Linked DNA regions of Oryctolagus cuniculus. The protein of the gene in region 1 purifies or fractionates together with the protein of each later gene. This does not show direct contact. Links are inferred from orthologs where the notes say so. Each region holds a gene or a part of one and is shown on either strand. Other genes may lie near its edges.

The links.
Region 2: the proteins of SLC39A12 (region 1) and ABHD12 purify together in Homo sapiens (co-immunoprecipitation; 3 studies listed by BioGRID and IntAct, counting the BioPlex papers as one, with this or other methods). This does not show direct contact. The link is inferred for Oryctolagus cuniculus from reciprocal best matches to the Homo sapiens genes SLC39A12 and ABHD12.
Region 3: the proteins of SLC39A12 (region 1) and NAT14 purify together in Homo sapiens (co-immunoprecipitation; 3 studies listed by BioGRID and IntAct, counting the BioPlex papers as one, with this or other methods). This does not show direct contact. The link is inferred for Oryctolagus cuniculus from reciprocal best matches to the Homo sapiens genes SLC39A12 and NAT14.

Annotation. Positions count from the first base shown.
Region 1 is NC_091444.1:44,135,019-44,138,541, forward strand, and holds part of SLC39A12 (zinc transporter ZIP12), read left to right. Parts: intron 1-1,870; coding exon 1,871-2,043; intron 2,044-3,523. UniProt on the Homo sapiens protein: Uniporter that promotes Zn(2+) import from the extracellular space to the cytoplasm across the cell membrane. The transport activity is temperature dependent. May play a role in neurulation and neurite extension.
Region 2 is NC_091442.1:49,780,125-49,784,145, forward strand, and holds the start of ABHD12 (lysophosphatidylserine lipase ABHD12), read right to left. Parts: upstream 2,802-4,021; 5' UTR 2,627-2,801; coding exon 2,436-2,626; intron 1-2,435.
Region 3 is NC_091449.1:3,483,270-3,487,581, reverse strand, and holds the start of NAT14 (probable N-acetyltransferase 14), read left to right. Parts: upstream 1-1,505; 5' UTR 1,506-1,638; intron 1,639-3,907; coding exon of another isoform or gene 3,908-4,312. Other genes in the region: ZNF628 (zinc finger protein 628), read left to right, coding at 3,908-4,312. UniProt on the Homo sapiens protein: Probable acetyltransferase. May act as a transcription factor that regulates the expression of coproporphyrinogen oxidase by binding to a promoter regulatory element.

The DNA.
Region 1 (3,523 bases):
TACTTGGACCCATGCTGCCCATGTTGGGAGACCAGAATGGAGTTTCTGCTTCCTGGTTTTGGCCTGGCTCAGTGCTTGCTGTCATGGCCATTTGGGGAGTGAATCCCCTGGGATGAAAGACCTCCTTCTCATTGCCTTTTGAATAAATCAATCAATAAATTTTTAAAAAAAGACTCTCCATTTCCCCCTCACTCTATGTTATAGAAGTTCTGTAGTGTTGACAGGGTGTGTGGTGGCAGGAAGAATAGAAACTTGAAAGTTTTTTTTTTTTGCCTCTTCTGGGTACAGTATTTTAATATTAGACCCCTTTATAATTTAGAACTTATAATTAACAAAGATCCTCTTAAAAATCATAAGCTACTTAGTATGTAACTAGCTCTACATTTAAAATGATCTAATATAAATGGCAAACATGCTAGAAAAATACAAGGATGATGAGAAAGGAAGATTTTTCTACTATTACAAGTTTAAGGGTATAGTTTTTTAAGAAACTTCAATAAGTTTTAAATATTAGAATAACTGAATTACTGATGCATTTGCTGTGACCCTGAGAATCTAATTATTAACAAATTCCTCAAAAAATAAAAAATGTTAAAAAAGAAAAGGCATTTATATGGTCCCTAAAGAAAATGATGCTTAAATGTTGTAATTATTTTCCCTCACTGTGTATACGCCATTTGCAATGGCTTGCTAGTCATTTCTGAATAGATGGAAAGCCAGGCATCTGCAACCATATGAAAGTGGGAGCAGGAAGAACCTTAAAGCCCTGTGTCATTGACATTTGTCTCTGAAAGTTATTAGCTCTTCATCTGTTCTCTTCCTTGACCTCTTTTCCCCCCATATATTTCCTTTTATTTGAATAATCTTGAAGGTTATACTTTCTGCATAGTAAAAATTCTACTACCTGGAAGCCTAAAAAGTTTGGATAAATGCTCATAGCTTGAAAAAAGGCTTGTGGAAATTATTGCAAACAATCTAAAATGTAGACTGTTCAAATTTATATCATCAGCTATTACATATTAATTGACCAGTTTTCACCAATAAAATCACTTATTTTTTGTCACTGAAGCCAATAAGCACTCCTGACATTACAAATAGCTCTGAGAACCTTTTGAAGGCATTCTTCCAAAGTGTATACTTGTTCTGTATACAAACATTGGTCTGCAGCAAGGCCAGACCACCTGCTGCCTCTAACACTGCTCTCAAAGCTTTAACTAAATGTGATTACTACTGCTTGTCACTGGATGCTGTGGCCCTTCAAGTAGGAATTTCTTTCAGTGTGCTGGGAAGTAAGCTAGGGTCTTGCTTGCCACAGTGATTTTTTAGTACAGGGTGGGTAGCCAGGGCAACTTCAGATCAGTAGTGTTATTTGGTTACAGTCCTGTCTTTTTCTTTAACAAAATATCTAAACTGCCTTAGATAATAACAAAGGCATTTCTCACAGTTCTGGGGTCTGGAAGTCCAAGTTCATGAACCCTGGTGAAGACCAACGTCCTGGCCCCCAGAGTGGTACCTTCTCACCGTGTTTTCAGTGGGTAGAGGTGGTGAGCTCTGATCTGTTTGGCCCCTTCCAAGGTCGCTAATCCCGTCCACCAGGCCCTTCTCAGCCAGTCACCTCCCAAGGGCCACGCCTCCTAAGATCACCTTGAGGCTGAGGCTTCAACACAGGAGGGTGGGGGTACTAGCGGGGTCACAAACATTCAGACCACAGCATATCTGTTCATTCTTTTCCCCAAATCTGAAACCCTTGACTCCATATAACACCACCAGCTGTTAGCATAAGACAGATTGTTCTAGCATTTTCTCTACTGAAGGCAAGAACGGAGGAGAACGTGTGGCACTGACGGCTTTGGGGTCTCCTTTGACTTAGAATACGGCTACAGCACCGTCGCGGTGGCGCTTCTCACGCTGGGCTCCATGCTGGGGACGGCGCTGGTCCTTTTCCATGGCTGTGAGGAAAACTACAGCCTCGTGTTACAGCTCTTTGTGGGCTTGGCCGTTGGGACGCTCTCTGGGGATGCCCTGCTGCACCTTATCCCTCAGGTAATCTCTTTTCCATTGCAGATGGAGCTGTCTGAATTCTCTTGATGTTCAACCACTGCAGGTACCTGCGCAAAGTTTTACAGCAACTTGAATGAGGAATGAGGAATGGGATGGCCGGTGTTGTCTCTGGAAAGAACTATTATTTCCCCAAACTTCTGCCCTTGTAGGAGAGGAGATGACCAAACACTAGGTTTTGCCACTCATTTCTTCTAGTGTTGAAATAGTAATGAAAAAGACAGGGGATCGGATCCAGATTGCTGTTAATAAAGATTCCAGAAGCATATGTAAGAATCATCTACAAATGGAAAAGTATAAGCTGAAAAGACATTGTGCTAGTTTTGTTTTTAGCTTTGTCTCCTCCCAACCCTGCTCAGATCATTCTTTGTCTTTCTCTGCTGCCTCTTCTGTTCCAGAATGTTCTGTCCCCTCCGCTCCCTTGCAGGCTGGCTGTTTGCGTTCACTCAATGTGCGGCACAGTGGGAAACCCAGCACAGGAGGAGCAGAGGCCGGGAACTGTCTGCCCTGGCTCGGCATCTGGTCTAGAAGTAGCTGCGGGGCTGTGACCAGCTCACCCCTCCCTGATGTCATTTCCTCCCTCTGCCCTTCGGCCCTGAGGGTGGTAGTGATTGGGGCTTGTTGGGTGCCGGGGGCCCCATTTTCGCTTGTTCTCACCCTTGACTCTGCCACCTCCACAGCGGTTCCATCACCAATGCCTCTGCTTTGGAGCTATCCGGATGCATTTCTCTTTTTTGCTAACTAATGCTGTCTAGATTTCCCCTAAGAAAAATGGAGAGAAGCACGGGGAGGCTTGCTGTTTGTCAGGAATGACAGGTCTAAGACGTGCGATGTGAGAGTTGGGGCAGAAGGCTTTGTGGATGACGTTATGTGTTCCCCCTGAAATCGCTGACAATGGATAAGGACAAGAGACCCAGGATATCCGCCCCACCTCCCTACCCCTGACACACAGCTTGCAAAGCCTGAGATGTTAAAATTTTCCATAAGCCTCTGGCAGTTTCTGCCAGGGTCACTCTCGTTGCTTAGATGCTCAGTAATTATTCAATGTTCCGAAAAAGGCAGAGTGAGCATTGGAGAAACACAGCAAACCATTATTAGTTTTAATTTCCCTCATAATCTAATCTTCTGGAAATATTTCGGGGCTTATTGCTGGCTTGGGACGATGGCCAGGGCCCTGTGCTAGGTCATGGTGATGGTTGCAGAGCTGTTTCCTGCCCAGGGTCCTGGGATCAGCAAAGGGACGGCGAGGCTGCCAGAGAGGGAGCACACAGCCAGGGCCGGGTGGTGAGGGTGAGGGTGAGGGTGGGCCTTGGGGGTGGGTGGTGCATGTTACAGAGGTGAACTTCAAAGATTAGCTTGGTTTCATGAAATTTAGAAGGCAGCTTTTTGCTCAGGGAAAGATGAGGACCGATGTTACTAAAAAGCACAAGTATGATGACAAGCTAGAAAAATCAGTGGCTCTTGA
Region 2 (4,021 bases), on another chromosome or scaffold:
TCACGGAAGCTGCAGCAGGCTGGGGCAGTGGGTAACACACCACTTGGGATGCGCGCATTCTATATTGGGAGTTCTTGGGTTCAAGTCCTGGCTCAGATCCTGATCCCAGTATCCTGCTTAATGCACACCCTGGAAGGCAGGTGACAGCTCAGGTACCTGGGTCCCTGCCACTCATGTGGGAGACCTGGGTGGAGTTCCTGGCTTCTGTTTCCTGCCTGACTCAGTCCTGGCTATTACAGGCATTTGGGGAGTGCACAACAGAACAGACCTTCTTTCTCTCTTGCGCGCCCGCGCGTGCGCCCTTTCCTTTTCCTTTTCTCTAACATAAAATAAATTTTAAAAGTTTAAAAAGAATATCCAAAAGTTAAAAGTCAATCTGAGGAGCCAATTTTGTAGTGTAGCAGGTTAAGCTGGTACCTGCAACACTGGCATCCCATATGGGCATTGGGTTTAAGTCCCAGTTACCCCACTTCTGATCCAGTTCCCTGCAACTGTGCCTGGGAAAGCAGCTGTGCCTGGGCCCCTGCCACCTACATAGGAGATCTGGATGGAGTTCCAGTCTCTTGGCTTCAGCCTGGCCCCAAACCAGTCATCAGGACCATTGGGGGAGAGAACCAGTGGGTGGAAGATTCTCTCTCTAACTCTGACTTCCAAATAGATAAAATAAATAAATACTTAAAAAATAAAGAAGTTGACCTGAACTTAGAATAGTTATTACCGGAGACTGGTAAGGCTGGGCAAGGGCAGATGGAGGGCGACTGGGCAACACAGTCAGCTGGGGTAGAAGGTTCTAGAGTTCCCCAGCGCAGTGGGTGACTGCAGCTCACAGCAATGTAGCACAGCCTGTGTGAGGGGAAGGCCGGGGAGGTGGGAAGGCTGGGGAGGTGGGGACGCCGACTGCCTGATGTGTTCAGTTTGCTCCACGGGCACGTGTTGAAATACTGCACAACTTTTTAGCCTTCCTTCCCCGGGTCTTGCTTTTTATTCCTCTTACAGCCGTTTGTTTATTTATCCAAAGGATCCCTGGCCTACTTGACTGTTTCTCTTTGTTCTCTGACACACCACCAAGAATTAATCAGGTCCTTTTAAGACAGTCCGTGCTTCAAGGAACGTGCCAGGTCAGCATTATTTCCCTGAAGATTATTGCGCATAACAATTCGATTTTTTTTTCCAAAGGAGGAACTTTCTGTCTTATCTAGGAGATATGCTAAGCCTGTTAAAGTGCATTAGGGTTAATCATGAGTCCTTAATGCAGACAAGCCTTCCCACCGCAGAGAACAAACTAGTTCCACACAATACATTCATGAGCTGCTAGATAATTTCACAGGCACACAAGCCAAAACTGCCCCTGCCTCCCGGCAGGAATGAGAACCCATTCTGGGGCATCCCTGGCTTCACCTTTAAGCAGCGAAGTTGAAATTTCCATTTTCTTTAGGGGCTGTCTGCGTAAACATTTAACATGGAAGCGAGCAGTGTCGACGGAGGGCATCCCAGCTCACCCCAAAGGAAACGACTCCATCACCCTTGAGAAACATCGCATCCTAACTTCTTCCACCACGCCACGAAACAGCCAGGCTTCAAACCGCCAGGAGCAGCGCGCTCCGCAACCAGCCAGATCCGAAGGAAGCCAGCAGCACAGTGTCCCTGAGAAACACGCTCCTGCCTCGGCTTTAGCACCAGCTTTACACAACCGCCTGCCTCCTCTTCCCCAAGGAAGGCTTCAGCACTCCGCAGCGATGCCCAAGGACACCCAGCCGTGTGCACCGACTCCAGGCGCCAGACACCTGCCCGCGAACACAGCCCGCCCTGTAGCCGCTGAGATGCGGCGCATCCTTGCTCTCTCCGTCCTGGACAGCGCAGGTCGCCTGCGGCTGACACTCCCTGGCCGGAGGTCCAGCAGTTCCGGGCTCCCCTCCGCCAGCTCCGCGCCCAAGGAAAACAGGAGCCAGAACAGGTGAGGGGCGCTCGGTTGCGGGGCCGACCCCTCGGCGTCCCGCCGCCTACGTGCCCAGCGCCCCGGGACTCCCCCAACCCCAGTGCTGTTCGCCCTTGCCCGGTCGCGACTTTCGGGCCGCCCCCAAACCCTTCGCGTAAGGAGTCCCGCGACCCCGACTCAGCCGGGAAGGGGCAGGGACGCAATGCCGGGTTCACGCTGCCGGCCGCGGGGTGGAGGGCGCGAAAAGGGCGCCGGACACGTGAGGAGGTGGGCAGGGGGCTCTCCGAACCGGGAGGAAGATGCAGGGGGATGTTAAGGGCTACCGGAGGGCCAGGTGAGGGGTTGCAGAGAGGTCGCCAAGAGGACACTGGAGTGAGGGGCAGGTGGAGGCGCTCCTGCAGGCGGATAGCCTGAGGAGGGGTGGGGGGTCGTGGGCTTCCAAAGAGCCGCACCTGCGGGCCAGGTGCGGGGGCTCCCGGCCCCCTGCGCCGCGCCTCACCTGCCCAGCGCCCGCTTCATGCCCGCGTCGGCTGCGCTGCGCTGCTCGGCCGGCCCTTTGCCCGCCAAGCGCAGATTCTGCTTCAAGCGGCAGTCGGCGTCCAGCGCCGCGGCGGCCGAGCCCGGAGAGGACGAGCCCGAGGCGGTGCAGCGCTCATGCTCCAAGGTGACGGGCTCGGTCCGCTTCCTCATCCCGCGGCCGACAGGGCCGGCCGCCCACGGCGCCCGCTGGCCTCGCCCGCCCGCCTACGTCGGCCTCGCAGCAGCCCCTGCTGCTCACAGCCGCCGCCGCCGCCGGGGAGCCCGGAGCCTGCCGCCCCTCACATCCCAGCCCCAGGCCGTGGCGCCGGCTACGGATCAGCAGCGGGCCGGGTCTGCCGCGCTGGCCAATCAGCGCCGGGCCCCGCCAGCTTCGGCCAGGCCCCGCCCCCGGTGCCGCCGGCCCAGCGTCCCGGGCGCCGGCCCGCAGCCATCTTGGAAGAGGGCGGCCGAAGCCGCAGCCTCGCGTCATCAGCAGGGCAAGGCTGAGCTTTCGAGTCCCGGTGGCCAGGGCGCCAGGCTCCCTGAGGCCTGGGGAACGGCTTCGCTTGGGCGCCCAGGACCGTTGCCTGTGTCCGTAGTCCGACCACGACGCAAGGCAAGGTTCCTCTCCTCACCTGGAAGTGTCATAAAGGAATATAAGAGCAAAAGAACAAGGAGCAAGCCACAGTTACGTTCTTTAGACTTGCAACTACTTATCCAGGAAGCTTTCACTGTAAAAAAAAAAAAAAAAGGGCATTCAGGTAATTAACTTTTAATAGGAAACAACTATTTTATGTTTGCTTTGAGACTAAGTGAAAAATTAACTGTTTACTCGTTAGAAATCTGTATGACAGGTTAGATTTTTATAAAGCAAATAAAACTATCTGATGGCAGGAAATCCGTTTTAAAGAAACATTGGTCGTTGTGGAACCCAAATTAAGTACTAACTCAACTCATCCTGAAAAGGTAAAAGGAAAGAATAAAGGACCGTTTCACAAATTTAGATTCACAGCTTTGGTTTTCTTTACTATGGTATTAATTTTACAAATGATCTACAACAGAGAGATTATTTGCTTATTTATTCCAAGGTTAACTTCTGTAATGTAAACATTTGTGTCAGTTTGCAAACTCTTTTTTTTTTTTTTTTTTTTTTGACAGGCAGAGTGGACAGTGAGAGAGAGAGACAGAGAGAAAGGTCTTCCTTTTGCCGTTGGTTCACCCTCCAATGGCCGCCGCTGCAGCCGGCGCACCGCGCTGATCCTGGCAGGAGCCAGGAGCCAGGTGCTTTTCCTGGTCTCCCATGGGGTGCAGGGCCCAAGCACCTGGGCCATCCTCCACTGCACTCCCTGGCCATAGCAGAGAGCTGGCCTGGAAGAGGGGCAACCGGGACAGAATCCGGTGCCCCAACCGGGACTAGAACCCGGTGTGCCGGCGCCGCTAGGTGGAGGATTAGCCTATTGAGCCACGGCGCCGGCAGTTTGCAAACTCTTGGCAACTGACAAAGATAAATTGGAAATGCCTTTAGAAGTTCAGTAGCTCCTTAGCTTTGTAAAGATACTTTGAAAT
Region 3 (4,312 bases), on another chromosome or scaffold:
GCCGACGCCCACCTGCCCCTGCCGCCTTCCCTGGCTCCAGGGGAAGCCAAGACTGGCCCGCAGCTTTCTCCCCAGGGAGGCTACCGAGGGGACGTGGGGCCTGGGTGCTGGTGGCAGGTGCACAGCAGGCCCAGCCGGGGCGTCAGGGACTCTCTCAGGGGTCTTCCAGGGTCTCCAGCCCCACTGCGACCCTCGGGCCTGTCGGGTGTTCGGTCCGGACTCCCCCTCGTCCCTCCCTCGGGACTGCATTTCTTTGCCTTTTGTCGTCCGCTCAGCTCTGTCGCTCGGCCTCCCTCTATGTCTTGGCCGCGGCCCAGAGGGGTAGGTGCAGGTGCCCTCGGCAAGGGGCCGTGGGGGCGCTGGAGGGTGAGCGCAGCATGGGGGCGGCCGCCGCACCTGCCAGTCCGGGCCGGGCCGGGCGCACACCTCCGGAGGCTCCACCAGGGGGCGCCCACGTTCCGGCCCAAGGTGCAGGGCGCGGCGCCAGGTGAGACTCCCTGGTTACCTGCGCTTCCAGGCGCTGACAGGTGTTCGCCGGTCTCCGGCTCCTAACCCAGCCGGCTCAGTGATGGGGGCGGGGCTTCAGCATTTATTGAGCGCCTACTGTGTGCAGCAGTGAGCAGGGCCGCCCTAGAGAACCCGGGAGGAAGACGCCCAGAAAATTCCAGCTCCCCTGGGATGGGAGACCACGGGAGGGCGGGGCTGGGGCCGCCTCGGATCGGGGACCCTCTGGGAGGCGCTGACCACGTCGAGGGGCCGGGGAGCGGCTCCTGGTGCTCTGTGGGCGGAGGGTCTGGGGTAGACCCCCCCCCCCCTGCGTCTTGGCTCCAGGGTCCTCAGAGACCCCCTCATGTCCCCTGTGGCCCACAGAGGAGCTACACGGAAGGGCTCAGCTCAGAGCTGGCGGGGGCTGGGGCAGCCCCGTTGCTCCAGCCACCTCCCCCCCCCCCCCACTCCCTTTGGGCCTGGATAACGCTGGACACGGCCTGGCCTGAGATTTCTCCCCGGAGCTTGCCCCGAGGGGGCTTGCTACCACGATCAGGAAGCGTCGTGGACTTCAAAGCTTTGTCCACTTCCTGGCTTGAAGCAGGGCCGCGTCGGCTTCTGGACCCTGTGGGCCTCCTGCCGGGCTGGGCGAGGACCAGGTGGCTGGGGCACGGGGCTGGCAGAGTTTTGCGCCTCCACGTCCGCCCTGCCTGGTAGCCCTCTGGGCAGCGTGGACGCCTCCTTTGTGGCCAGTGTTTAACGAAAGCAGAAGTAAAAGGGACGCTGCTCTTAGGGAAACAGCGCGCCCTCCAAAAAAGCCGGTGGACAACGGAAGGCCCTGGCCTGCGGCCCGGAGAACTACAACTCCCAGGATGCCACGCGCCGCCGGCGCCCGGGAGCGCGGCGGCTCGGGGCGGGGCCTCGGCGCGCGCGCGTCATGACGCGCGACGGCGACGTCGGGGTTTGTGTGCGCGAGAGGCCGCCGATAAAGGTTGGGTGCCTCGCGCCGGGGGCCGCCGGGAGGGAGCGCGCCCCCGCCCCCCTCCCCGGCCCCCTGTCCCGCACGGCCGCCACCGGGGCGCCCCCTTCCCGTCGGCCCCCGCGGGAAGGCTCTGGGGCTCCCCGCCCTCGTTCCCCGGGTCGGGGCCGCAGGTGAGACCCCGCGGGGTGGGAGTGGGGGGAGGGACCGGAGGGCGGAGACGTTGGGGAAGCGGTGAGCGTGAAACCGGAAGGGGTGCCTTAAAGGGAAGGTCGCTATTTTACCGCCGACTCGTGCCCGCTGGGCCGGCGCCGCCCTCTTAAAGGGCCAGAGGCTGCGTTTTACAGAAGCCGCCCCTCTTGTTTGTTTGCCCCCTAAAAGGAGTTGTCTTATTAAAAGGCCGTGACGGCTGCGTAGGTAATGGCAGGAAAAGCTCCCCGGCCGCTCAGTGGCGGCGCCCTCTTAAAGGGGCAGTCCGACCTGCTGGAAGGGCGTGAACCGGCCTTGTAGGGGCCGGCTCTGCTCCGTGCACCAGCGGGGCCGCGGCCGCTGGGACCCCAGCGATGCTCGGTCTTCTTAGAGGCGCACCAGCTTCTGGGCACGCACGGGTCCCCGCAGAGGCCTCGCCTACCGTTTCGGGGGGGTGCTCATTCATTCGTTCATTCATTCATTCATTCATGCTTCAGAGGGATTCGTTCCCTGGACACAGGCCCCCGTTTCTGCGGCCTGGGGAAACCGTGGCCGAGGCCGCACCCTGGGTGGTCCTCTGCACGCTGGGGCGGCCCTGCAGCAGGGGCTGCCGCAGTCGGTCTTGGGGGCGGTAGGCGAGGGTTGAGCAGGCCCCAGAGTCAGTCTGGTGACATCAGGAGCCAGTGTGGTGGTCCCGGCTGCGGGGGCGTGGTTGGCGCTGGCGGCGTGCACAAAACAGCCCCACGGGACACTCTGGCCCGGCCACCGCCGAGGGGACGAGTGCCATGGAGACACGGATGAGGCTGGGGCAGAGACTGGGGAGTGTCGGCAAAGACTTGGGGGTGAGGTGGGGGCTGGGGACGCCGGCAGGTGCCCCAAGGAGGGAGCAAGCTGGCGGCCGGGGTGACCCGCAGCCGAAGGCATGGAGGGGACGGGGCCGCAGGCTCAGAAACGGGACCTCTGGGAGGTCTCAGGGCAGCGGAGTGGAGTGGCCTCCCTGGAGCTGCTGTGCCGGGGACAGGTGGGGTTAGGAAGGGAAGGGGCAGGGGCAGGGGCAGAGGCCTGGTGCGGCCTCCGGGAGAGGAGGTGGCAGCACACAGGTGGGCCTCCAGAAGTGGCCGGCTTCCGCAGGGGACCCTGCTGGCGGACCGCCTCGGAGAGCCAGGGGGAGAGAGGCGGGCGAGGAGGGCCCGGCGCCCCTGGCTGCCACCTTCAGACAGAAGACGGGGCTGAGTCCGGGCTGAAGCGGGCGCAGGAAGCTGGGGTGGGGTTGGGCATGGGAAGTCCAAGGTGTGCCACGTGGCACAGCCCGGCAGGGGTGCGCAGCCCTGGGAGTGGGACGGCTCCCGGGGAGACTTGTGGGAATGCGAGGGCACAGGCATGGAGGGCAGTGGGCTCCTCGTGGGGGAGGGGTCTCAGCATTCTCCACGGCGTGGGGGTGGTCCTACCCCCTGCAGTGTTGAGAAGGACCCTTGGCCTCACCCCAGAGGCCGGCAGCACCTGCCCTGCAGTTGAGAGACAGCCGGGGCTCCCCTGGGAGGTGGGAGCCGCTGGCTGGAAGCTGAGGGCTTCCTCTCCGGATTGCTTGTGTTTTCCCCGGAGCCGGCGTGGTCCGTGGCGGGGTTGCCCGCTTAGAGCAGGAGAGGACGGGGTGCTGGAGTCTGGGGAGAAGAGAGGCTGCCAGGGAGCCTCAGAGCGGGGTGTGTGCAGTGGGGCCAGCATAGGCTGGGGGAGGGGCTGTGAGAATGGGGGCGGGACAGTGGCACAGGGCCCGCAGCAGCAGGGGCCACAGACCTGCTGGTGTCCAGGGATTGGGGGTTCAAGAGGGAGTGAGCGAGGAGGCAGGGTGATGGTGGCTAGGGGGACTGGCTGGAGGCCAGGGCCCTGCAGAGGCTGTGGGCAGACGGAAGGCTTAGGGCGAGGCCGGGCCGCAGCCCGTGTGGGGGCGCAGGCGGGTGAGGTCTTCAGAGGACGCGGCCTGGCTGTGCGGGCAAGGAGCACAGGCCTGCCGGCCGCGCCCGGGCTGCTCAGTCCGGGGAGATGGCCAGCGTCGCGAGGGTGACCCGTTGTCCCAGTGTGTCGGGCGGTTTCCATTTTGACACTGGCAGCCTCTTTCCTGGGCAACCCTGGGCTGCTGGGAGCGCACATCCCACGGGAGGCCCCCCGCGGGGTGGGTGGCCGGGGAGGCGGCCAGTGTGGCCTGGGGCTGAGTGTAGCGCCCGCCGCTGACCCAGAATCCCTCCGCCAGGTGTGATGGTCGGCTCCCACGCGGACATGGCGCCTGCCTCCACCGCGGAGGGGGCCGGGGAGAAGCCGGGCCCCGCGGCCCCCGCAGCCCAGTATGAGTGTGGGGAGTGCGGCAAGTCGTTCCGCTGGTCCTCGCGGCTGCTGCACCACCAGCGCACGCACACGGGCGAGCGGCCCTACAAGTGCCCAGACTGCCCCAAGGCCTTCAAGGGCTCCTCGGCGCTGCTGTACCACCAGCGGGGCCACACGGGCGAGCGGCCCTACCCGTGCCCCGACTGCCCCAAGGCCTTCAAGCGCTCGTCGCTGCTGCAGATCCACCGCAGCGTGCACACGGGGCTGCGCGCCTTCACCTGCGGCCAGTGCGGCCTGGCCTTCAAGTGGTCGTCCCACTACCAGTACCACCTGCGGCAG